2 linked regions of the Caenorhabditis elegans genome follow. The protein of the gene in region 1 purifies or fractionates together with the protein of each later gene. This does not show direct contact. Each region holds a gene or a part of one and is shown on either strand. Other genes may lie near its edges. The genes, in order: T28H10.2 and cnp-2.

What was found.
Region 2: the proteins of T28H10.2 (region 1) and cnp-2 fractionate together in Caenorhabditis elegans (co-fractionation; one large-scale study listed by BioGRID). This does not show direct contact.

Annotation. Positions count from the first base shown.
Region 1 is NC_003283.11:12,503,142-12,514,708, forward strand, and holds T28H10.2 (ShKT domain-containing protein), read right to left. Parts: upstream 9,809-11,567; 5' UTR 8,859-9,808; coding exon 8,807-8,858; intron 8,578-8,806; coding exon 8,271-8,577; intron 7,947-8,270; coding exon 7,736-7,946; intron 7,688-7,735; coding exon 7,571-7,687; 3' UTR 7,504-7,570; downstream 1-7,503. Other genes in the region: rbm-25 (RRM domain-containing protein), read left to right, coding at 49-239, 286-375; T28H10.1 (L-aminoadipate-semialdehyde dehydrogenase-phosphopantetheinyl transferase), read left to right, coding at 664-833, 881-1,056, 1,108-1,237, 1,536-1,660, 1,705-1,961; nlp-46 (Neuropeptide-Like Protein), read right to left, coding at 2,122-2,208, 2,996-3,109; lgmn-1 (legumain), read left to right, coding at 9,951-10,228, 10,274-10,438, 10,482-10,690, 10,738-11,018, 11,074-11,276, 11,478-11,567.
Region 2 is NC_003280.10:12,752,755-12,767,270, forward strand, and holds cnp-2 (Calcineurin-interacting protein 2), read left to right. Parts: upstream 1-8,042; 5' UTR 8,043-8,066; coding exon 8,067-8,094; intron 8,095-8,501; coding exon 8,502-8,685; intron 8,686-9,020; coding exon 9,021-9,123; intron 9,124-9,899; coding exon 9,900-9,972; intron 9,973-10,015; coding exon 10,016-10,437; intron 10,438-10,733; coding exon 10,734-10,813; intron 10,814-10,868; coding exon 10,869-11,138; intron 11,139-12,185; coding exon 12,186-12,389; intron 12,390-12,436; coding exon 12,437-12,499; intron 12,500-12,544; coding exon 12,545-12,631; intron 12,632-13,002; coding exon 13,003-13,047; intron 13,048-13,091; coding exon 13,092-13,136; intron 13,137-13,187; coding exon 13,188-13,262; intron 13,263-13,314; coding exon 13,315-13,359; intron 13,360-13,406; coding exon 13,407-13,457; intron 13,458-13,504; coding exon 13,505-13,570; intron 13,571-13,613; coding exon 13,614-13,775; intron 13,776-13,819; coding exon 13,820-13,873; intron 13,874-14,195; coding exon 14,196-14,232; intron 14,233-14,289; and 3 more. Other genes in the region: Y46G5A.39 (F-box domain-containing protein), read right to left, coding at 100-217, 267-926, 974-1,059; Y46G5A.7 (F-box domain-containing protein), read right to left, coding at 2,465-2,600, 2,650-3,270, 3,318-3,403; Y46G5A.8 (F-box domain-containing protein), read left to right, coding at 3,599-3,690, 4,392-4,881.

The sequences.
Region 1 (11,567 bases):
AGATATGTTTATTGAAAAAAAAAACATTTAAAACTTGATTTTTTTCAGATGAACTTTTTGTTCATAGAATCGAATGGGATCAGCTAGATGGGAAATGGATGAATGATCGAATTCGTCCGTGGGTGGCTAAAAAAGTCACTCAATTCCTTGGCGAAGAAGACAAATCGTTCTGTGATTTCATCTGTGATCAAATTGAGAAACAAGCGACACCCCAAGAAATACTCAAAGACGTCGCCGTCGTGAGATGATCAATTATTAAGTAAAAATCTAATATATGGAATTCAGATCATTGACGAGGATGCTGAGCAATTTGTGATCAAAATGTGGCGACTTTTAATTTATGAGGGACAAGCCCGTCGTCTCGGAATTACATAACTACTTTCAATATTGGAAATACATTATGCAATCTTTTTACCACTCATCCCCGCCTCTGTATTGAGTTGTTCTTTACTTCAAAGACTCGTTTTACTGTCTATTTCTCTCTCCCTCTCTGGAATTCATTCCAGTGAGCAGCTGACTTAATAATCGCTATTATAATATTAAATTAAATATAGTTTTCTGTGCTATACTTCAAACTGATATTTTTATGAAATGTGGCATCTACCTCTTGATGATTTCTAATTTAGCTCATCCGTCTCAATTTTCATCATAAATTCCAGCGCAATGAGCTTAAGATGGGCAATATCGCTGGAAGAAACGATAACTTCATCTACATTCCAAAATATGTTTAGACGGGCTATTTTGTGTGCATCGGAAAGTGATGTGGAGCAGCAGAGACGGTTTCGATATAAAGAAGATGCATTGGCATGTCTGATAGGAAGATTAATTCCAAGGTTCTAACAAAATGTTATTCGAGTTTGAATAATTGGAAGACATTCAGAAAAGCTGCCACTATATCAATATCTCGTCAGTGGTCAGATCTAGAGTTTAGTCGGAATGAAAATGGAAAACCATCTCTTATTCAAAATAAATCAGACTATTCTCGTCAAAACTTCGAATACAACGTATCGCATCATGGTGATCTAGTTGTATTAGCTACCGGAGATACTAGAATAGGTTTGTACTAATGTTTTGAATTTTGATCTTATAAAGGCAAAATTATTTAAGGTGTCGATGTGATGAGAGTTAATGAAGCTCGGCGTGAGACTGCTAGTGAACAAATGAATACGTTGAAGCGACATTTCAGTGAAAATGAAATAGAAATGGTTAAAGGGGGAGATAAATGTGAACTTAAAAGGTATCGTTTCAAACTACAATTCTTAATTTTCTGTATTGTGTATATAAAAGTTCACGGATTCAATCAGATGGATCTCAGTTTATGGCAGAGCTTTTCCGATTTTCACGACAAAAAACTCAACAAAATTCATAATGACGTTATAACAATATCCTGAATAACGTCAAAGCGGGCACCGAACATATCAGTGGCGAGACCCATCCGGATAAATTCGTGCGCCTTTAAATACGAATTTCAGAAAATTGAAAACTGACAATATTGAAATCATCAGTAAAATTTAATAAATCATCCTAATTTCTAGATGGCACGCATTCTACAGAATTTGGTGTCTGAAAGAATCAATTCTAAAAGCTACGGGAGTTGGACTTCCAGATGGACTGCACAATCATACTTTCCAAGTAGATTCCAGTTATGATCACGCGTCAGGTTAACTTTTCGAAAGAATCTATCGTTTTATGTATCCTTTTCAGGTCACTCAACAGTTTCAACCCAATATTATCATCGTTTGATTCCACAACCACAATGGATTTTTGAAGAGTCATTTATTGGAGAGAATCATTGTGTCGCTGTTGCTTCAGAAGTATCTCCGTCTACTACTTCCTGTGCTATACCATTTCAAATGATGTCTCTCGAAGAAATTCTCCAAGACGCAGATTTTATAAATATTACAGCTGATGTAGATGAAGAACTTGATGTATTTATGGGAAAATCAAATAAACCATTTTGAGATCGTCAAAAAAAAAGAAAAACAAACAGATGAAGACAGCACACCAGGAAACGGAATCAAGTTGTTAAATGAAATGAGCAAGAGCAATTTCTAATTGAGATTTTAGTAGAAAATGTGATAAAAACATAATATCAAAAGAAGAATGTGCAATTTTTGTATTTTATTTTCCGGGTCGAAGACCATCACCACGCCCGATTGCGATGTTTCGTTTCATGTACGGAAGAAATTGACGAGCTGCGTTTTTCTCCTGAAATAAGAATTCATTTTGAAACTAGCCTAAACGAGGAAGCTTTTTGTATCTCAAGAATAAATGTAGAAGATAGTAAAATTTATAGTTTCTGGTGAGGAGGTATTTACAAAAACAAAAAGTTCTTAACCTAGAGTAACTTATTGGTTTAAACCACCATTGAGGTCACGCAATTTTAGTAAGGGTAAATATTATTTTTCAAGTTTTCAGGAAGATTTATTACTCTGATAGAAATCTTTTTTTGAAGATTAGATTATTTCGATTGTCGTGAATCGAATCTCTACATGATTTCCAGCAAGTTATCATTATTAACAAAATCAGTTATAGGCCAACTCGACCTTTTCTGAATCTAGGAACACATCTTAAATTTTTTGGGCTTAACTTGTTACCAAATACCGAGATACCTTCCTTATCTTTCATTGACGGATCTTCAGGTAGTATGAATGTGAATTTGGCATTTAAATGCCCAAACCAGAACTAGTCTAATATTAAAAAGTACTGTAAATAATTATGTTGTCTGAATTCCCTCTAAAAGAAGAAGCCACACCCACTTTCGAACCAATCAGCGTCCTCGTATTCTGCACACTCTGTCTAATTGGTTGGCAGAGTAAATCACTGATTGGTCTGCCAGTTATTATTTTTTAAAGAATTTAAACAGAGAGATTAACGTTAATTGAAATCAATAGCTAGTTGGATGAAAATTGGTAATTTGGGGCTAAAATCATACCGCAGTCTTGACCCAAGGTTACGGTAATAGTAGGTTTCTTCAAAACTTTTCAAAACTCACATCATTATCCAAATCAACCGGATCGTAATCGTAGTTCAATCGGAAATACGGCAGAGCCGCGGCGAGCCCAACGAGAACCAACAGTACCAGAACAAATGTACGAATTGACAACATTTTTCGCCCTACAAGTGCAGCATTATTAATCTTGTATATCTAGTCTAGTTATGCGAAGCAAAAAGATAAAAAACATGGGAAACATCATATAAAATGTGTAAATGAGTTGGGTCCAGTCGGCAATTGAATATGAAGAATATTTGGGATTCATGGCCACGCCCTTTTTCAGTCAGAGAGCGGAGTATTCCGAATCCAATAAAAATATGGGGGAAAAGTTGTTGGTGTATAAATAGAGTGAAAATGACATTTTTTCTCCTGCTGACTTGAGAGGGTTGAGTGATGAATTGAATGGACTAGAAAAATGAACTGATGATAGTTTTTAAGAGTGGGAGACATAAGAATGCCATGAGACATATCAAAATTATTGAGATGATGTCATAAAAATTATTGCAAATTAGAATTAAATTGCATACATTTGAAGTGAATGTTTACATGTATATGTGTCTATTGAACACAACGACGTTAAAAAACTAGTCATTTATGTACATTCTAATAAAAAAAAGCCCACTAGCTACCGTTACAAGTATGTACGTGGATACTATTTAATAAAGTTTTTCTAGAAAAAAACAACAGTTTTTCTAGAGATTGGGGAAATAATACTCAGTTCTGGTATTTTGTAAGTTTGAGTGAAGCCGTAAAAAACTAATGGTTGCATTTTTTAACTTTCCGTTAATTTTTTATTTTGAAAATAATAAAGATGCTGAACCCCTTTTTGAAAAAAAAATCAAATTAAAATTTATAATTTCCCGACCACAGGGTATATCGAGCACATACAATACCATTAAGTTCTTCCTTAAGATTTTTACGGTGGATCCATTCAAGTAAATTTGTGCGTTTTCAGGTACAAATTTCAAAAAGTATTATATAGCAAAAAACCGGCACATTAAAAAATTCGCACTTCTTCAAAATGTCCACTAAAACTTCCATCATGCATAATTTTGAATGCTTATTAAAATATATTAGAAAAAGAGTACGAGAACATTCTGATCTCACAATAGAATATTTAGGGAACGTGTGGAAACATTTGCCATTTTCTTTTCCGGAATATAAATTTAGAAAATTGAAGAAATGTTTTATCCATTCGTCCACGGCTTGCCCAATTTTTATCAAAACCAATGATTGAAAAGTTGGTAGGCCTCCGGCAAAACCAGAATAAGAATTGGGGGCACCAAGGGTAATAAATGGTGATTTGTAATCATTTATATTATTGTTCTACCGAGCTTGTGCTGTAGCTTGTTTTGAAATTAGACAAACTTCTGAGAAGACAACCCGTGTTTGAACACTCTTTTTTGTTAGACTTGGGCAAGAATATTATGAGTTACAAAGTTGAGAAACAAGTTTGTTAAGTTGTTTAAATTATTTTTTATTTGTAAAATTTCAAAAGAACATAAATTGATCTTCAAGAAGTCTCCTTCTGCTTCAGGTTTTTTTTGAATATCTGAACGGGTTTTAAAGAAAACAGTACGGATAACTAGTTTAAATAAGTATGTTAACTTCACTAAGTTGAACTAGAAATGCATCCTTGCTTAAAAATGAAGAAATTATTTACAAAGTTGCTATCTTCAGTGAGCAGACAACTCAAACCAGCTCATAACAAAATTAATTCAGCTCGCCGTTCTTAAACCAAATCAACACATCAGACAGGCCATAATCACCTATTCGCCAATACATTCCAACATCAATAATTCATAATTTTTGATTAGGCTTCAGGAACTCGTGCATGTGGCTAAACACACGAATAAACAAGTGAGTCACATTAGTCTGACAGACAAGAAGAAAGTACGTCATTTGAATATGTGGTGGTTATCTGACAAATTTGAAAGTTTCACGGAGAACATTGAAACGTCTGCTGGTGACGTGCTCTGCTACACTATTTTATTGTCTATTTTTATAATTGTTTATTTTTCAAAAATAAGTTCAACAACTTTGCAGAAGATCGGAGAAACGAGTGAACTCATTTTTACTATGAAAATTTGAGTTCAAAATCAAGTTCAGACAGTTTTAAAAACGGCTTACTGTAGTTCTTGATTTAAAATTATAATAATATGCTGTAGAAATGGAAACTTTGTAAAAAAAATTATCTCTACTTAATAATTCAGAGAAACTATGAAAAATATGAAATGATCGATTTTTCCTCAGCTTTTATAATTTAGCTGACAGAAATCATTGTCAATTACTTCGTTTATTTTTAAATACAAATTTCACTAAAACAGAAATCATAAAAATAATTTTGACTTATTTGATCAGATCATTGAAATTGGTTGTTTTTATATAGAACCCACGCGTCATTGACATCTATTACTTTGTTCCGATGATTGGTGACTTGTTAGAATATTGAAAAAGAAATTAAATCGGGCTTCTATTTTGGTGATCACAAATGGAACGTTTTTACGTACATTTTTGAAATATTTTAAAGTTATGATGGAAATATTTGGTGATTTATGGCACGATGCTTTACAGAAATTGCGCTCACATAGTGGGTAGGCCAACTGCATCCGATCATCTTGTGAAATTGAAGAAGTATTTTATCTGGATACTTACCAATTTGAGATCAGATAATTTCTGGCCACGAGAGCCATTCAAAAAACTGGGAACAAAAAATAATTAATGGGAATTTTTCCAAATTTATAAAAAATACAGAAACCGATTAGGAAAGCTAGCGTTTTATATAAATAAACGAAACATATATATAAACGAACATTCTGGAAACTGATTGAAAACTTATATTTCTTTGACAAAAATTGAAAAATTTGCATTCAACTTTCCTGAACACTCTTAAAACTAGCACAATTCTGCAAAAAAAAGAGTTTTTGAGTATTTCTACAGGCCTCAAAATCAGTAAAATGATGCACTGACAAGTTCCTGATTGAAATTTCAGAGGGTTCGCAGTTGAGTGTCGCAGGTTAAATCTTTGTCATAATATAGCATAATCATAGCTGTCAGATGTTAATTGGAGTCTACTGGTAAATTAAGATCAAATTGAAATCGATAGTTTGTTATTAGAATCTAGAAAAGCTTTCAAAAACCAAGACACCTTCGATCTTATTTTTGAATTTGTCACGGAGGTTTCTGATTTCATGTTTACTTTTTCTCTATCTTTTTATGAATTCACTTGAATATTTTCTTCCTCTTTCCATTTTTTCTTTTTGCAGTTTGATCTAAATGACTCGTCTCCGAATCTGAACGAGATGTTTACGGTCAAACTAATTTTTCATTAAATTTTCTTTTTTTCTCTTTCCAACTTTTTTTCCAGATCTCTTTAATCATGACATCATGGACCACAAAGCAAAGGGAGAAACACGAATAAATGATGAGTTGAATTGATAGCTCAACTCTTTTTTTAAGCGGAAGCCCCCATGAGTCGCTGTAAAAGTTGGAGTGGAGACGTGCAAAACGATGAGCTTTATTTTTGGGCCTGCTGACATTTTTAGCATCTAGAGTTATGGGTTGGAAAAGATGATATTCAATTTTGATGGATGGGAAAACGGAGTTGAAGTTGAAAATTATTTCCAAATATAACAATTTCATTTGAACCTATAAGGGCACCCATATTTCTTGATAAAACTAACACTGCCATTCGATCTATTGAAGAAAATTACATAAAGTTTTGAGAAGTAAAATAATCAATGAAAAATCGCAAAAAATACAAGGTAAGGGCGGAGTCTATGATTGATTTTCTGTATCTCTGATCTAATAAAACAAGGATTTTAAGAGTATTGTTAATAGAGGCTAGTCTAGGTAGTCTAGGTAGTCTAGAAAGTCTAGGTAGTCTAGGTAGTCTAGGTAGTCTAGGTAGTCTAGGTAGTCTAGGTAGTCTAGGTAGTCTAGGTAGTCTAGGTAGTCTAGGTAGTCTAGGTAGTCTAGGTAAGGTAGCCTAGGTAGTCTAGGTAGTCTAGGTAGTCTAGGTAGTCTAGGTAGTCTAGGTAGTCTGGGTAGTCTAGGTAGTCTAGGTAGTCTAGGTACTCTAGGTAGTCTAGGTAGTCTAGGTAGTCTAGGTAGTCTAGGTAGTCTGGGTAGTCTAGGTAGTCTAGGTAGTAGTCTAGGTAGTCTAGGTAGTCTAGGTAGTCTGGGTAGTCTAGGTAGTCTAGGTAGTCTAGGTAGTAGTCTAGGTAGTCTAGGTAGTCTAGGTAGTCTAGGTAGTCTAGGTAGTCTAGGTAGTCTAGGTAGTCTAGGTAGTCTAGGTATGCGCTATGCACTATGCGCTATGCGCTATACGCTATGCACTATACGCTATACGCTATACGCTATGCGCTATGCGCTATGCGCTATGCACTATACGCTATGCACTATACGCTATACGCTATACGCTATACGCTATACGCTATGCACTATACGCTACAAGGTAGAAGTTTTTTTGATAATTCATATTTTTGATTCTCTTCTTGGTTAAAACAATTACAAAGCATTCTTTTTATTTTGCACTTTTTGAAAAGTTTTAAAACAATCGTTTTCTATTTTTATTTATACTGAAGTTTTTGTGTATAATATTGAAGTGTGTTCCTGCATTCTATGAGATAACGTTTGAATACTGAGACGGGCTCGAAGGTAACCATTATCCAGGGTCCATTCGCGAATTAGCTGCAAAAAATATTTTGACCTTCGTGCTTAAACTATCCGTTAACTTACATTATGGAGATGTTCATCTCTTACAAAGCTGATTCTTCCGATATCTTTGAGCATAAATTTAATGTTGTTTCCAACCATTGAACCTTCCTCAACAGTAATGAAACCATTGGACATGACTGTTGTCAAAATAACTTCACGAGTGTTTGGTTTAATGATGATGTAACCCGATTCGCGGTGAAGATCTTCTTTATCACTAGACCAAGCGGCGGCACTGAAGCAAACAAAAATATTGTTAATTATTGTGTGCTCTCTATTAGTATTGCAGTCTTACAAACTAAATTATAAAATTAATACGATAGATTTTTATATTTCATTTACAAACCGGTTTTTCCTATTAACAATAGTTACTACAAGTCTAACTTTCTATCAGAATTTTTTGAGTGAAAGAGTGATTTCATGTTTGAATTCAACACTTTTTAACCAATTATAGAATATCAAAACTAAATAATTTAGCTGAGTAATTTTTCCCAGACCTAATTTCTGAAAACTTTAAAAAATTTCAAAACATTTTAACAGTAGTCAAATCTTAACTCACGTGTAATTGAGTGATCGAATATTGCTTCCTTCAGGAATTGAAATTTCGACTTCCTCTGTGTATTTGAAAGTTGGAATTGTTGGAAATGTAACTTTTCCGGTATGTTCACCCTTCCATCGTCCCACCAATTGGTGAATAGGTTGAAGTTGTGGATTCAAGCGACGAGTATCGAATTTTAACTCATAGCGAGGACAATTTCCGCAACTTTTTCGACAGTTTTTCTTGATGTACTCTTTTCTTTGACATGAACCTCGATCCGAAGCAACCCACGATGCACATGCTCCGTCGCTATCGAAACACTGTTGCACTGAAAAAGCTATATTAATTGAACACTTTTTTTTTAGTTAAAAATAAATATTTTCAAATACGTACAAATTAATTTTTTAAGTTAAAACAATTTTTTCGTCAACTTTTGTGCAGTTTCTTTGAGAGCAATTTCAAATTTGAAACTGAATCCTTATTTAACTGATAAATTAAACACCTATCAATAATTTTTAGAATGCTAAAAAATTCTTTAATTGGATGGTAAAACTCACAACTAGGTGCGACATAAGCCAGAAATACTCCTGAAACCAACAAAAACCTCATCAGAGAATATATGTATACAACCAATCGCTCTGCAAATTAAATCAATCAAAAGTGTTAAGTGTGATTATCAAACTATTCGAGACTTCCTCTTTCTATTTTTATCATTAAGAAGAAAGACAGTAAACGAAATAAAATCGTAGAAGGTCATCCACCAACGTGCCTTTGGCATCAATTGATTACCCATCATCGTATTCTTTAATTTTCTGTGTTCTTCCTTCCTTTTCATGTGTGATAATGAAAATCGACGAATATCGGCATTAGTAAAAGACGGAGAAGTAGAGAGAAGACAAAATATTCAATGAACCAAAACCGAATAAAAACTGTCTGGGTTATTTTGAACTGAACAGACTTGATATTGGGCTATGGGAGAGATAGAGTGATCCTCTTTTGCATTTCTAAAATTCACTCTCCAATTTAGCAAAATATCAGAAAAACCCTCTATATACAGTAACTGTATGGTTTCCGTTTTTTCTTGTTTTTTTTTTACTTTTGTCTTAATTTCCGGAAAGCATTACAATTGAAAAAAAAAATTAAGACAACGTTTTTTTTTGAATTTAGGAATCAAAGAATACACAAACAAAGAATTTCAATAACGATAGGAAAGCTCAAAAAAAACTATTACCGTATACACTTTGTTCCGAAATTTTAATTTTGTTCTTAATTTCCCTCTTATTATACTGTTCTGGAAAACCAAAGCTCTTATTAACTTTCTACCTCAAAAAATCTAGAAGACATTTGTTTTAAAAATGACATTCCCCGGGACTGAATTTTTATTTTAAAACAATGCAAAATTATAATAATTTTTTCATTGAAATTATAATACTTATAGTCCTTCATTAACTCAAAACTCGTAGCTACTCCACACACACAATTATCGTTTCTTTTTCCTAGTAATTCAAAATCAAAGTGTCATGTTTGTTGATCAGCTGACACCTTTCACCATCATCGATACCTCGTTCTATTTGAACACAACCTTATGTCTTCCTTATCAATTATATAAGTGGTAATCTGATAACACAGTGTTGTCCAGCAGACCAGTCAGTCTTATTGTCCCCCTTTCACCGGCTCACTTTACTTTTTTCCTATTTTATAATGAGACCACTTGCTCTTTTAATTTGCATTATTGTTCTGTTCTTGGTGACAGAAGCTCGATATAATCCTAGAAAAGGTCTGGCAGCAGGACGGCAAAGGAAACACAAGTATCAAGATGAAGGAGAAGCTTTCGTTGTGTTGGTAGCTGGATCAAATGGATGGTATAATTACAGACATCAAGCTGATGTGGCACATGCGTATCACACACTTAGAAATCATGGAATTCCAGAGGAAAATATTATTACAATGATGTATGATGATGTGGCGAATAATCCATTGTAAGTGTGCTCTATGGAGATTTTGATTAATTGGATTTTGCTTAGAAATCCATACAAAGGGAAGCTGTTTAATCGTCCACATGGAAAAGACCTCTACAAAGGTCTGAAAATTGATTACAAAGGTGCTTCAGTGACACCGGAAAACTTTTTGAATGTTCTTAAAGGAAATGCCAGCGGAATTGATGGTGGAAACGGAAGAGTTCTTGAAACGTGAGGTTTCTAGCAATTGTGTCAACTTGTTTTTTATTTTCAGAAACGACAATGATCGCGTTTTTGTTTACTTCACTGATCACGGTGCGGTTGGAATGATTTCATTCCCAGATGGCATTTTGACTGTAAAGCAACTGAATGATGTTCTTGTTTGGATGCACAAGAATAAGAAGTACTCACAGTTGACTTTTTATCTTGAAGCCTGTGAATCTGGAAGCATGTTTGAAGAGGTACTCCGATCGGATATGGATAGTAAGTTTCAGAGAATTCTCCAATATTATAGTATTATCGAATTATAGTTTATGCAATTTCTGCTGCAAATAGCCATGAAAGTTCATGGGGAACATTCTGTGAGAACGACATGAATCTTCCGTGCCTTGGAGATCTTTTTAGTGTTAACTGGATGACTGATAGTGACGGAGAAGATTTGAAGACAGAAACTCTTGAATTCCAATACGAGCTAGTTAAAAAAGAGACAAACCTTTCCCATGTGATGCAGTTTGGTGATAAGGATATTGCGAAAGAGGCAGTAGCCTTGTTCCAAGGAGATAAGGAAGATAGAGAGTATGTCGAAGATTTTGTAAGTATCTATGTGAAAATTGATATTTTGTCATGAAAAGGTCATTTTGTTTCAGGGATTGTCTGCTTCAAAATCTGTCAACTGGCCAGCAAGAGATATTGAGCTCAATCACTTGATTTCGCAACACAGAAAGTCGAATGATTTGTTATCGTCGAACAAGTTAGAGTACAAAATCAATAGAATCAAGGAGACACGAAGAGCAATCAAGAGAAATGTACATATGATTGTTCAGAAGTTCTTTGATGGAGAGTCTGAAGAGTAAGTTGAAGAAAAATCGAGCTGACATGGGGATGTTCTTGGGTTCTGATGGGCTCTAAAAATTGAGAAAAAATCCTTGATAAACTGGAAAAAATGGTAATTCACAAGTAAAAACTACTTCAATTTTTGAACTTATGCGTTCATATGATGATATCATGTATTCATTTCATGCTGGGTTCTCAGAATATTATATTTTTTCAGTCTGATCAGCCGAGTACTAACACAAACTCGTCCAGTTCTTGATCTCCGTTGCCATCACATTGCTGTTCATCTTTTCAAAAAGTACTGTAT
Region 2 (14,516 bases), on another chromosome or scaffold:
CGAGCACCTTCTTTAAACTATTCCAAAAACAAATACAAGCTTTATTGGAGTACAAAGTAGATTATTTTATAAATTATCAGCAATCAAAATTATATTGTTTCAAGGTGGAACGGAGAGACGGAAGCTATCCGGAAGAATTGTTAATTCAGAAACCGTTCCTTTGTTGCATGTGAGATATTCGTAATTCTCAAATCTATGAAACCGATCATCCTGAGATCTGTAAAACCGTGTTGTATGAGAAACAAAGAAAAACAAATGAAACTGACTGTTGTCTAGAGTTGGTCCCTTCAAGAATGATGGATTTATCAAGGTGCGATTCCATTTGTGCTAAGAAATATTCTAGATGACTGTTTTCCTTCCATTTCTTGAGGAGTAGGTTTAAATGAAGACTGTTGATGTTGATCCTACCTAGTGTCACAAACGAAGAACACATCATCAAATCAATCAAATCATCATCAATATCACTTAATTCTATAGCATGCGGTCTTTGCACACAAACTCTCAAATTATTCGCTTTGCTCTCAAGTAAGCCCCGAAAAAGTTGCTTTGATATGCCTTCTCCGGTAAATTTCAAGTGATTAACTTTTATTGTTTTCCTTGCAATAAGTTCAACTATACTCTGAATATCCCCCTCTAAGTAATAAAGAACTGTTATATCAAGGTTTTTGTTTATTTTTAGGTGCTCTAGAAAGTCCAAAATTGTTTCCAATACTCGATTAACATCTCTTCCCTTATATAAACTAATGTCCTCACAATCAGTTAAATTTCTACAGAAGATAACTTCACATTCGGATTCAAGGTAGTATTGCCGTGCAGTAATGCTTAAACTAAGCCAGCGTTCGTCCTCACTCTGGCGCTTTTTCGCGCGCTCTATAGATTGTTTCAAAACAAATTTAATTTTTCGAGATGTTGCGCGAAGTATGCATCTGAAAGCATTGATTTAGAATAAATAAGAAATATGGTATTAGCTTACATATCACTTATTTTCAAATGATCCAATACGTCAGAGAGAACAACAGTTGGAAGTTTGAGTAGATGGAAGGGTGCAGGAGACGACATCTAGAGTGCTATGAAAGAGAAAATGACGGAGATTGGGGCAACTGTACACAGTGAGACAGTGAGCGCGCACAGTTCGGGGGTGCCCTAGTAGAGACTACATCTTGAAAACGTGGTGCCTCACGAAGTGCTGCAACATGTTTTGAAAAGTACCGTAGTAAAACACCATTTTTAAAATGATTCTCAAGTGTATTTATTTTTAAAAAACCGTCACAACATGGGAATGCCTATGATTGTGGGGCGAAATATTTTCTAGCGACTTTTACCGTAGTATTGAATAAAAATAACAACAATTTAGAATTTAATTTCAAGTGCGCGCGCGACAATTTATATTTTTCATTTGCATGACGCGCCATATCGAGATCAAACGGGAGACGCGAAACGTGGAACCGCGTGGAGTCAGAGTGTCTTATTTTGATTTGATCTTCAAAAAATGCGGGAGTTGACACACAGACATCTCATGAGACAGTCTCCTCGACGCACGTGGTGTCAGGCTGTCCCATTACGGTTTTTTTTTGCAAATTTTATCTCGAAAATTAGTGTTCTATACTTTATTATATTCATTCTATACATCAGCTGGCAAGTGAGAGGTGACCTATCTCCTCACTCTCTCCATCCGGCTTATTTAACCAATAAATACATGTGTTTTTACATTATACTTAACAACAATAAACAGATACGGTGGTACCCTTATCTTCCGTTTATAACACCTTCTCTAAACTATTTCAAAAACGAATACAAGCATTATTAGGGTACAAAGTAGATTATTTCATAAATTATCTGCAATAAAAGTGATGTTTCAAGGTGGGACGGAAAGGAAGAAGAAACTCGGAAGAGTTGTAAATTGAGAAACCTTTCCTTTCTTGCATGTTGTGAGAAATTTGTAATGCTCAAATCTGTAAAACCAAGTTGTATGAGGAACAAACAAAAACAAATGAAACTGACTGTTGTCTAGAGTTGGTCCCTTCAAGAATGACAGATTTTTCAAGGTGCGATTCCATTTGTGCTGAGAAATATTCCAGACAGCTATTTTCCTTCCATTTCTTGAGGAGTGCGTTTAAATGTTCGACCGTCGGAAAGTGAAATTCCAATTTTATGCCTCATAATTTTAATACACAAGTTCATTACTTTAACGATAACCATTTTCCTATCAGTTATCATCAGAACGTTAGTTTTGTCAATATGAATTTAAATGTGTACAATGTATAAACATACATTAATATAAAACCGGCAAAAACTCGGTTGCCATTGTGAAAAACCACTAAGGAATAGTATAAACTTTCCGTTTCAGTTATTTCCCCACATTCACCACACCACAACGAGCACCTTCTTTAAACTATTTTAAAAACAAATACAAGCTTTATTGGAGTACAAAGTAGATTATTTTATAAATGATCAGCAATCAAAATTAAGTTGTGATAAAATCACCGAAAACGAAGAGGAAGAAGCAATTCTCAAAAATTGTTAAGTCAGATACCTTTCCATTGTTGCATGTTGTGAGAAATTCGTAATTCTCATATCTATAAAGCCGAGTATCCTCAGATCTGTAAAACCGCGTTGTATGAGAAACAAAGAAAGACAAATAAAACTGACCGTTGTCTAGAGTTTGTCCCTTCAAGAATGACAGATTTTTCAAGAGGCGATTCCATTTGTCCCGCAACAAAGTATTCCAGACTGCTGTTTTCCTTCCATTTCTTGACGAGTACGTTTAAGTGATCACTGTCCAAATTAATCCCACTCAATGTCACACTCGTACAATGTACCATCAAATCAATATCATGCAATTGAATATTATGTGCCGTCCTCCTCACTGTCAAACGAGTCGCTTTACTTTTAAACAAACCCCGAAACAATTTATTCGAAATGTTTTTTCCTTCAAACTTCAAGTTATTAACAGATATTTTTTTTCTTACAATAAATGCAACTAATCTCTTAATATCCCCCTCGTTGTAAAGATCGCTTATATCAATGTTTATGCATACTCTTAGGTTCTCTAGAAAGTCCGAAATTGTTTCCAATACTCGATTAACATCACTACCCTTATATAAATTAATGTGCGCTGTCAACTTCGAAAAGATTATTTCAAAGTAATCTTGGCATGCATAAATATTCAATTCAAAAAAGCGTCGATCCTCACTCTGGCGCTTATTCGCGTGTCCAATAGATTGTTTGACAGCACATGTAGTTTTTCGAGATGTTGCGCGAAGTATGAATCTAAAAAAATTGATTTAGAATAAATAAGAAATATGGTATTAGCTTACATATCACTTATTTTCAAATAATCCAATACGTCAGAGAGAACAACAGTTGGAAGTTTGAGTAGATGGAAGGGTGCAGGAGACGACATCTAGAGTGCTATGAAAGAGAAAATGACGGAGATTGGGGCAACTGTACACAGTGAGACAGTGAGCGCGCACAGTTCGGGGGTGCCCTAGTAGAGGACAATGACGTCACTGAACCTCCACACTCAACGAATCGATAATTGTTATGCAGCGTTGCTCGTCGTTTCTCCCTCACTATTGTCTCTTGCACCATCTGAGAAATGTGGTTCACTTCCGGTTCGCCCTTCCCTCTACTCAAACTTCCACTGGTTGCTATTTCTGAAGTTCTGGATCACATGGATACCGGGGATATGTGAGTTTAAATAATTATTATTTTCTTTTAGATTTAATGTAACAGATTCCAAAGTTTTTTTTTCGTTGAAAGTATATTTTTGAGCGTTTTGGAAAAAATTATGGTCGTTTTTTTTCGTCTACAGTAAAATTTTAGCATTTTTCAGGCTCTCTGAATGCTTTTTTTTGTGCTTTAATTTTCTGGCAGTTGCCGAATCCAAAAAATTTCGGCAACCGGCAACTTTTGGTTGCCGCACAGCCCAGGTGGCAAGTATTGTCTTACCATATTTGAAAGCTCACTTTAAGCTTGAAATTTGCACTTCCGGTAAACGCACAAAACTGGCTTATTTCAACATGATAATCCAAACTTTTTGATCTAAAATTAATATAGAAGTGTAGAAAATAAGTTGTTCTATCTGAAAATAAGATTTATTATTGTTAAAAAGCTTGAAAAAGTCATCAAAGAGTACTCGAAAGTTGCCGCTTGCAGAAAAAGTCCCGTTTAAAGTTTTTTTTCGGAAAACTTTCAGGCACTATTTGATGGCTTTTTCAAACTTTTCAACTAAAATAAATGTTATTTTCAGATAGAACAACCTATTTTATACATTTCTATATTAATTTTAGATCAAAAAATTTGGATCATCATGTTGAAATAAGCCAATTTTGTGCACTTGCCGAAAAAAAAAAGACTAATAGAGCATACTCACAATGAAATATTTCCAGATGTGCACTCCGAGTAACATCTCAAAAAACGAAGAACCTCGTCCAGCAGTCTGCAAGACGCTTCACAGACCGTCCCAAGCATTTGTGCCAGCTTGATATAATTGCACGTCGAGACCATTTTATTCTCGGCTCTCGAATTGGATTTGATCGTTGTACGGAATTATATAAAGGAAGAGATATTGATAGACTATTGGGAACAACCAGTGACCTCCTGGATAATCTACATGTTGAGCACGTTAATCTGGATATAAGACGTCGAGATGAAGAAGTGGAGATTCACAAAATTGTCACAATGCTCCTGAGAAAAAAGGCCAATGTGTTCAAAACTCAGAGATATGAACAGTTTTGTGAATTTTTGTATGCATTATTCGGTTTTTATATTTTCTCATCTCTTTTCCTCTCTATCTTCGTCCGTTTCTCATTTCTTTATCCCATTTTTTTGATTTTGTTAATTGTAATTTTTTCTATTGTTTACTTGTGGAAATATTAGAATTACTTGATATCTAACATTGAATGAATATTTTTAATAGTGAATTCGTAGTCAGATATGTTAGTTTTTTTTTTGCATTCTGAATGTATAAATTTATGATCTAACTAATAAGGGGTGGACGGCATCTTAATGGGCAAATTGCAATTGCCGGTCTGCCAATTTGCCAAAAATTTTAATTTCAGGCAATTTGCTGATTTGCCGGAAATTACAATTTCAGGCAATTTACCGATTTGCCAGAAATGTTCATTTCCGGCAATTTGTCGATTTGCCGGAAATTTTCATTTCAGGCAATTTACCGATTTGCCAGAAATGTTCATTTCCGGCAATTTGTCGATTTGCCAGAAATTTTCATTTCAGGCAACTTGCCAATTTGCTGGAAATTTTCATTTCAGACAATTTACCGATTTGGCAGAAATGTTCATTTCCGGCAATTCGCCGATTTGCCAGAAATTTTCATTTCAGGCAACTTGCCAATTTGGCGGAAATTTTGATTTTTGGTAAATTGCCGATTTGCAAATTTCCAAAAAAAAAGTGCAAAACCACAATTTGCCAAAAATTTTCGACCATTGCAGTTTTTCCGGCAAATCCGATACTTTGACAATTTGCCGGTTTGCCGGAAGTTTTTCTTTGCCTGCCTTTTTTAGCAGACGTTCACAAAATCAGAATTCAAAAAAAAAAACTGAATCATGCAATTAATCATGATGAAAAGTAACCAAAAACAACACAAAAAGCCGAAATCGAATCAAAAAGTGAATGCATCATTGTCCAAACATATAAAACATTCACTTTGAAGTATATTTTACGATTTTCCGTTTTCGGAACGTCACTTTTCTTGCCAATAGGCGGGGTTGCCAAGGTAGTCTCACATTTTTGCAATTTTCTTAAAGATGCTTTTTGGAAGACATTTTATTCAAAAAAAAAATAGAAGTTAAAGATGTTTTCTATGTATAGCTCTTTTCTTTTTTGGTTACTGTTTAGGCAATTTACCGGTTTGCCGTTTTGCCGGAAATTTTTATTATTGGCAAATTGCCGATTTGCCGGAAATTTTGATATTTGACAAATTGCCGATTTGACGGAAATTTTGATATTTGGCAAATTGCCGATTTGCCGAAAATTTTGATATTTTGCAAATTGCCGATTTGCCGGAAGTTTTGATTTTCGGCGAATTGCCGATTAGCTGATTTGCCGGTTATTTTGATTTTTTGGCAAATTTCCGGTTTGCCTAGTTGCCGGAAAATTTGGTTTTTGGCAATTTGCCGATTTGCCTATTTGCCGGAAATTTTGATTTTTGGCAATTTGCCGGTTTGCCTATTTGCCGGAACTTCTCATTTCCGTCGATTTGCCGGTCTGCCGGAAGTTTTCAATTCTCACAATATGCCAAAAATTTTCGGCAAATTCGGTAAACTGGCAATGTGCCGATTTGTCGTTTTGCCGGACATTTTCAATTCAGGCAATTTGCCGGTTCGCCGCTTTGCCGGATATTTCATTTTTCAGAATGCTTTTAGACCTGAATTTGGTAATCAATACACTGAAAAATTTTATTTTTTTTTGATTTTTTTTTAAATTTAGGTTACTGTAGCCTCATTTCTGTGTGAAAACCGACACATTCCCATAAATTCATGGAAAACCCAGTTTTCAGGGATAAGCAGTGCTTCTGAATCTAAATTTCACAGTCAAAGCTGTTACTCTTCGAGGCAAAAAATCTTAGTGTCGGCACTTCATTTGAAAAATCTCAAGTACCTGTCACTCTCACATGTTTGACCCATTTTTTCGCCTACAGGAAAAACCTTCAAAGTAGCCTTATCCCTCGTTTTCCCTCTATTTTCTAATAATTTTTTTTTGTCCGTTTACACATGTTCTGGCGGTGGGCTGTCGAAAAAACAAATAAAACAGTCATTGAAACTATCTTTTTTTTCTGTGTAAATAGTAGTTTTTTGGGATTAAACTCACTTTTTTTAAAAAGATTTCCTGTATTATTTTGTTGTAAAAATTCACACGGGGTTCTGGCCTACCTCATTGCATTTTTCGCGCTCCATTGACAATCGCCCGCCGGACAACGCATGGGAAAGTCATGTACTCCACACGGACAACTTCATTTAGTTTTACAACTAAAACCGAGCCGCGACGCGACACGCAACGCGCCGTAAATCTACCCCAGATATGGCCGAGCTAAAATGGCCTAGTTCGGCAAACTCTTCCATTTCAGTTTATGAGGGACGTCGGAAAAAAACTTGAAAAACTACTTTTTTTTGAAATTTTTTTCAAATTCAGAACTATTTATGTTGACTAAAAGCTCTATATATTCCATAACAAAAAAAAAATGCAATTTCCCAAAAAAAAATTCGAAAAAAAAAACATTTATGTTTACTAAAAATCTCAGCGCTCACAGGAGCCCCACATATTTTTTTTGGATTTTTTTTCAATTCAAAATGAAATTTTTGCACACATATATGCTGCACACGGTGACTACTAGTATACACATATACATATATAAAGAAGAACCAACAGATTTTCGGAATTAGCGGCACCCGGGGCGGAGAGGATGATCCTACTCTCGGCGGGCTCGCCGAGCCCACTGGATGTTTCTCTCTCTCTTTGAGCACTTTTGGAATGTATGCATGTTCGTTTGAAATTACTTTTTATGTAGTTTTATGTTATAAGTTTTATTAGAAAATGTATGAAAATTCATTGAAATTGGGTTTGTTTTTATTTTTAAAAAATTTGCAAACAAATGTTTTTTAAATTTTTTTTCTGGAATTTCTAAGATCTCTACGAATCTGTTTTCTAAAGATATTTTAACATCTAAATTATTTATTTATTTATTTTTCCACAATAGTTTTTAAAATAGATTTTCTATATTTAAAATCTTTTTTGAAATTTCGAAAAAAATTTCCAATAATTAATTTTTTTAAAAAATTTAGAAAAAAACCGATTTTCAGAAGTCTTCTCCTTTTTAAAAAAATATATATCATGTACTTTTTTCTCAATTTTTTTTTGGCATGTGAATATATATGAAATTCGAAACTTGATGCCCTCCTGTCTTCCACTATTTCCTCCCACTTTCTTGACATTTTCCCCCCAATTTTCTTCTTATGCGGTCTTTTTTATGCAAAAAATTTGTACGTTTATTTATTTATTTTTTTTTTTTTATTTTTTTTCAGGAGCTTATAGTTTTTTTGAAAAAGATGAACCGTGGATATGATAGTTATAACCGTGAGTTTTTTTAAAAATTAAAAATTTCAAAATTTCAAAATTTGACTTAAAACTAATTGTAAGTACTTTCAGGTTTCTCCAAAATTTGTCAAAAAACACTGTAAAATATGCTGAAAAAAATTTTAAAAAATCGAAATTGTTGAAAATAGTTTTTATATACAAATTGGACAAAAAATTCAAAACAGAAAAAAATTGGAAACGACTGAAATTTATTTTTTCAAAAGTACAGAAAATTCTATTAAACATTTTATTGTAAAAGGCTAAAAGTAAGATCTTTTTCGCAATTTAAAATTATATGCATATTTTTTAAAAATCTGAAACTTCGATTTTTTACAAAATTTTAGAAAAATATTCCCATATTTATTCCTAATACAGTCCAAATATTTTTTTATGCCCCTAATTTTCAGGATCCCGATCTACATCATCTAGACCCCTGGATCGAGAGCCCTACCATGCTGTATCAGAGCTGTACACCAAGGAAATAACCCATACTCCAATTGGTCCAGCTTCAGACCTTCCTCCAGAAATTTTGGATATTCTTAAAGAAAATCCCCGAGCAACACCACAGTATACACCTCCGTTGATTAGGCAGTAGGTTTTTTAAAAATGTTTCCAAAAATGTGAGAACTTTGACAGCTTATATCTCAATTCTCCTAATTTGTATAAAAAATTGACAACTGATAAAATGTTTATCAACTATTTTTCTATATTTTTGTAGTTTACCATTACTCATTATCTTCAAAAAGAACTGAGATACGAGCTGTCAAAGTTGAGAAACAAAGAAACGAAAATCGGGGCAAAAAAATTTCCGAATTCATAGAACATTTGGAATTTTACCAAAACTTTGACTCAAATTTTTGAAAAATCTGAAAATTTTTGGAGTGTTGGAATACTATTAAAATCCAAAATTTGAAACAAATTTCCAGCCGCGAAAACACATGGACCCCAGAAAACTACCCAATTGTTCGTGTCCCTTCTGCACAATTCACAGATGTTATGACTGAACTGTACGACTATCACGAAGTAGAGGTAAGATTTATAAACTACAAACTACAAACTATAAACTACAAACTATAAACTACAACTACAAACTACAAACTACAAACTATAAACTACAAACTACCAACTACAAACAGCAAACTACAAACTACAATCTACAAAACTCTACCACACGGTCAAATTTTTTAAAGCTTTTTTTTTGTTAGTAAAATAAAGGACAGTCATTAGATGGCTGAAAAAAATTGGGCAAAAATAAATATTTGCCTAAATTTATTGAAAACGGGTAATTCTTGCGGATATATGCTTAATTCAGAAAATCTAGGTTTATCTTATCAAAACTATTGAAAAGTGGCAAAATTGGGCAATTTTTGGCAAAAATTCACAATTTTGAAACTCCTCTAACATGGTTAATTTTGTAGTTAGAGGACTCAAAATTGATCTCAGAACCCTAAAAATTGTCCTTTTTCAGTTATCAGTAGTTTTGTTTAAATTCGTTTTTTAAAAAATTTTTTGCCCAAAAAAGGACAGTCAAACGAACAAAAAGGACAGGCTGAAAAAAATTGGGCAAAAATAAAATATTGCCTAATTGTGTTGAAAACGGGAAATTCATATATGCCGAATTCAGAAAATCTAGGTTTAACCCATCAAAAACTTTTAAAAAGTGGCAAAACTGAACAATTTATGGTAAAAAATCACAACTCTCAAAGTTTCGTTGCTGACTGTAGTGTAGATTAAACTATACAAACTACAAACTACAAACAACAAACTACAAACTACAAGTAAGACAGAAATATGTTATATTACAGAAATACACACACCGATCGGTCACCCCAGACTACGAGCCACTACGGAAAGAGCCGGAGCTCAAGGAGCAAAAATGTATGTTTATTCAGTTTTTTCCTCTTTAACTGCTAAATTTCAGTGCCAACCTACCAGGTGATCCCTCCGACACCCGAAAAGAACACGCCACGTCACCAGCACCATTCGGGTATCACACTGTCCCCATCAGATTCTTCAAGGACACTCGGAGCCCTGCCAAAGAAGCCTCCAATGTACGAAGAGTATTTGCAAATGCAGAAGAAGGACGAAAATCGGAATATTCCTAGACAAGTCTCCTCGGCGGATTCCCAAAGGACGATTCGGAATAACAACGAGCTCAGTCACTTGAGACACATCGATTCCTCGTCGTCTTCGGAAGCTTCCGAGCCAGCGAAGGATCTTGATGATCGTGAACGTTATGTGTACACACATGATGTCTACGTGGATTCAACTACGGGGCGCCCGTTCACACCGGGGAGAGAGGATGTTCGGGAGAAGAAGAATTGCGATAAGTTGAAGATTAATGTGAGTCCTAATTTTGAGGCACCACGGTTTCAAGATCTGGTGGGATTTCGGATCTATTATTTCCGGATCTACGATTTCCGGATCTATGATTTCCGGATCTACAATTTCCGGATCTATGATTTCCGGATCTACGATTTCCGGATCTACGATTTCCGGATCTATGATTTCCGAGTCTACGATTTCCGGATCTACGGTGGTAGATCCGGAAAACGTAGATCCGGAATCCCACCATATCTTGAAACCGTGGTGCCTCTTAATTTTTTAAAAATGGTTTTCAAAAAAGAACAAACTTCCAGGTCTACTTCAAGCCTCCACACCCTCCAGTAGAAATTACATACAAGTTGGACGAAATTGAAATTGAGAAGAACGAAAATATGTGAGTCACCTGTCCTTGTTGACTAAAAACTTCAAAAAAAAACCTCCAATTTCAGTGTAGTAACGAAGCTCCGCCCATCCCGCTCCGACACTATATTATCGCGTAGTGTTTCCACAAGTCCGTCGTCAGTCACTGATAATATTCCAAAAACTTCAACTTCAAGAATTCCCTCAAGCGAAAACCCGAAAACGATGGAGCACACCACAACCAGCCGCCGCTTCCCAACTCAAACCTCTATTCTCAGAAAAGAGCACGAAATTGTGCAAGTGCCACTTCATCGGAGCCAATCGCTCAGGCAATCTAGAATTTCGGAGCATAGTAAACGGTTTGTTTGGTTTCGGAAAATTTTAAACATTTTTGAGATAGAATAAGATTTTGGCATTGCCGAAATTACAGTAATCCATTAGTTTTTCGTTTTTCTACAGTACTCTTACAGTACAATAGAGCCACAGTAGTCATACAACATCCCTACAGTACCCCTACAGTAATTATATAGTAACCACATTGTGCCCCGTTATTATCAAGACAGTAATCCTACAGTATCACTACAGTACTCTAAAACCACAGTAATCCTCTAGCACTTCAACAGTACCCCTTACAGTATCCCTACAGTAATCCTACAGTACTCCTACCGTCCCCCTACCGTACCCCTAAAGTAATTATACAGTAACCCTAATGTACCCCTTTATTATCCCGACAGTAATCCATTAGTACCCCTACAGTACTCTAAAACCACAGTAATCATACATCACTCCTACAGTACCCCTAAAGTTATTGTACAGTAACCCTACCATACCCCTTTATTATTCCGACAGTAATCCTACGGTACCCCTACAGTGACCCTACAGTGTCACTACAGTACTCTAAAACCATAGTAGACACTCAGCACCTCTACAGTATCCTACAGTACCTTTACAGTTATTTTACAGTAACCCTACCATGCCCCTTTATTATTTCGACAGTAATCCTACAGTACCCCTACAGTGGCCCTACAGTATCACTATATTACTCTAAAACCACAGTGATCCTAAAGCATCCCCACAGTACTCCTACAGTACCCCTACAGTGACCCTACCATAACCCTTTATTATCCCGACAGTACCCCTAGAGTATCACTGCAGTACTCGAAAGCCACAGTAATCCTACAATATCACTACAGTAATCTGAAGCCACAGTTATCCTACAGTACCCCTTACAGTACCCCTACTTCATTAGTACCCCATACAGTACCCCTACAGTACCCCTACAGTACCCCTACAGTATCCCTACAGTTCCCTTACAGTACCCCTACAGTCTCACTACAGTACTATACAGCCACAGTAATCCTACAGTACCCATTACAGCACCACTTCCAAAATATATTCAGTTCCAGATCCCTCGGCAAAACCACCTCTACAGTGAGCACAGAGCGTCCAATTCCGATCCACGTAGTGGAGGAGACGTCATCAATCGATATGGATGTCGTTTTTCCAAAAATGCCACATCATCAAACCGTGACAAACGTCAGAGTTCCTTCGAGCAGAGGATCAGCAATATCCAGAGCTCACAGTGAGCATCGCAGGTCGATTGACAGGAGGTAAAAAGTGATATGTAGCACATTTTTAATCATAATTTTTTTTGCAGCGAACCACGTCACCACCATCGTCATCATGTTCATTCCGAGACCCCTGAACTTCCATATACTAGGTGACAAAATATCTGGGCACACATTTGTATAGAAAGACTTTTCAGAGGGATCTCCAAGACTCCGAGTGTTCGAGAATACAATGTGAAGCGGGAAGGTCAGAGATCGCCAAGCAGGTCTCATAGATCTGAAAGGTACGGTCGATCCGTTCTTAGCTTCGGTTTCTGCTTAGGCGTAGGCCTCGGTTTAGGCTTAGGCTTAGGATAAGGCTCAGGCTTAGTCTCAGGCTTAGTCTTAGGCTTTGGCATAGGCTTGGGCTTGGGCTTAGGATGAGGCTTAGGTTTTGGTTTTGGCTTAGGCTTAGGCTTAGGCTTCGGTTTAAGCTTAGATTTAGGCTCTGGCTCAGGCTTAACATAAACTTTCGATTAGTATACTTTTTGTTGATGCCATCCACCAAGTATTTACGGGGTTCCCTAGTTAGAGTTAGGCTCACGCTTAGGCACAGGCTTAGGATTAGGCCTAGGCGAGCTACTAGTTCATACAATTTCTCGGTTTTTTTTTGCAGAAGCCCATCAGAGGTCCGTATCCCGGTGACAACTACACATACTCGGTAGGCTTTGAGAAATTTCTAAAAATTAAAAAAAAAATTTTCAGCCCGATTGCAAAACGCCAAAGCCCGGAGGAGCTGGATTATGGAAGGTGATTGAAACTGCCGAGCTCAGTTGCTGATAAAATTATCGAAAATTCCAGATTCGCGGATAAAAGTCAGCAGAACCGATTTCCGGGGGATCATCAGGCTAGGGAGGAGGACTTACCGTATACCAGGTAATTTTTTTTTAACTCGGGGAGCTTTCGGCAAACCTCGATAATTTTTCAGGGGAATTTCCAAGACTCCTAGCAATCAGGATTCCAGGTCGGAGAGGTAGGGTAGATTTCCAAAAATTTAAAAAAAAAACCAAATTTTTCTAGAACTCCGTGCTCGGATATTCACATTCCTTACAATAACCCTGAAAAAGAGAGGTACAGTAGCAAAACCTACCGTAACCCTACAGTAATCCAAATTTCAGAGCCTATCAGCAATCCGAGCGGTCGTCTTATAGATCCCACAAATCGGTGACCCCATCAGAAAAGTCGTAAGTTTTTTTTTATACAGTAGTCCTATAGTAGTAAATCCAGGTTACCCCGCAATTCGGAGACCCCCGAGCTACATTACACCCGAGGAATCTCAAAAACGCCAAGCGACAGGGTGGAGAAGTCAAGGTACCTATCACGTGGTGTCAGTACCCCACATACCCCATCTGAAGTGCACATTCCATACAATAATCCAGAGAAAGAACGGTAAATTATACCTGAAAATTGAAGTTTTATCGATTTTTTTGCAGAGCCTACCAACAATCGCACCGCCCGTCTTCGCCAAAGAGACGCCCGTCTGGAAGGTGAGAAAATCGATATTTTTCGATGAATTAATCGATAATTTCAAAGAAAAATCGATATTTTCTAAAATTTTTCTGATTCCGGCCACGGGGTTCTGGCCTTCCTCATTGAATTTTTCGCGCTCTATTGACAATCATTTAGTTTTAAAACTAAAATCGAGCCGCGACGCAACACGCAACGCGCCGTAAATCTACCCCAGATATGCCCCAGCCAAATTGGCCTAGTTCGGAAAACTCTTCCATTTCAATTTATGAGGGAAGCTAGAAATCCCATTAATTCCGGAGAAAAATTCTTCCGAAAAATCGATAATTTTCCCATTTTCAGAACAAATTCCCCCAACAAGTCCAGCAGCAGCTCCAAGGTACAGTAACCACCCCCCCCTCAAACTATCGATTTTCCAACAAAATTTGTTTTCCAGGCGAGACCATCGGCGGCTCCACTCGAAGAAATAGTGCATATCAAGGAGAGATACGAGAGAGACGAGACGATTCGCCGATTCTTCCCAACTACGACTGCAGTGTAGACTATCTTAAAATTATTTTTCTCGAATTAAAAAAAAATTGATTCCCATGCTGTGCTTTCTCGACAATAAATTGCTTGCCATACATTTTTTTTGTGGATTTTTCGGCGAAAAATTGAGGAAAA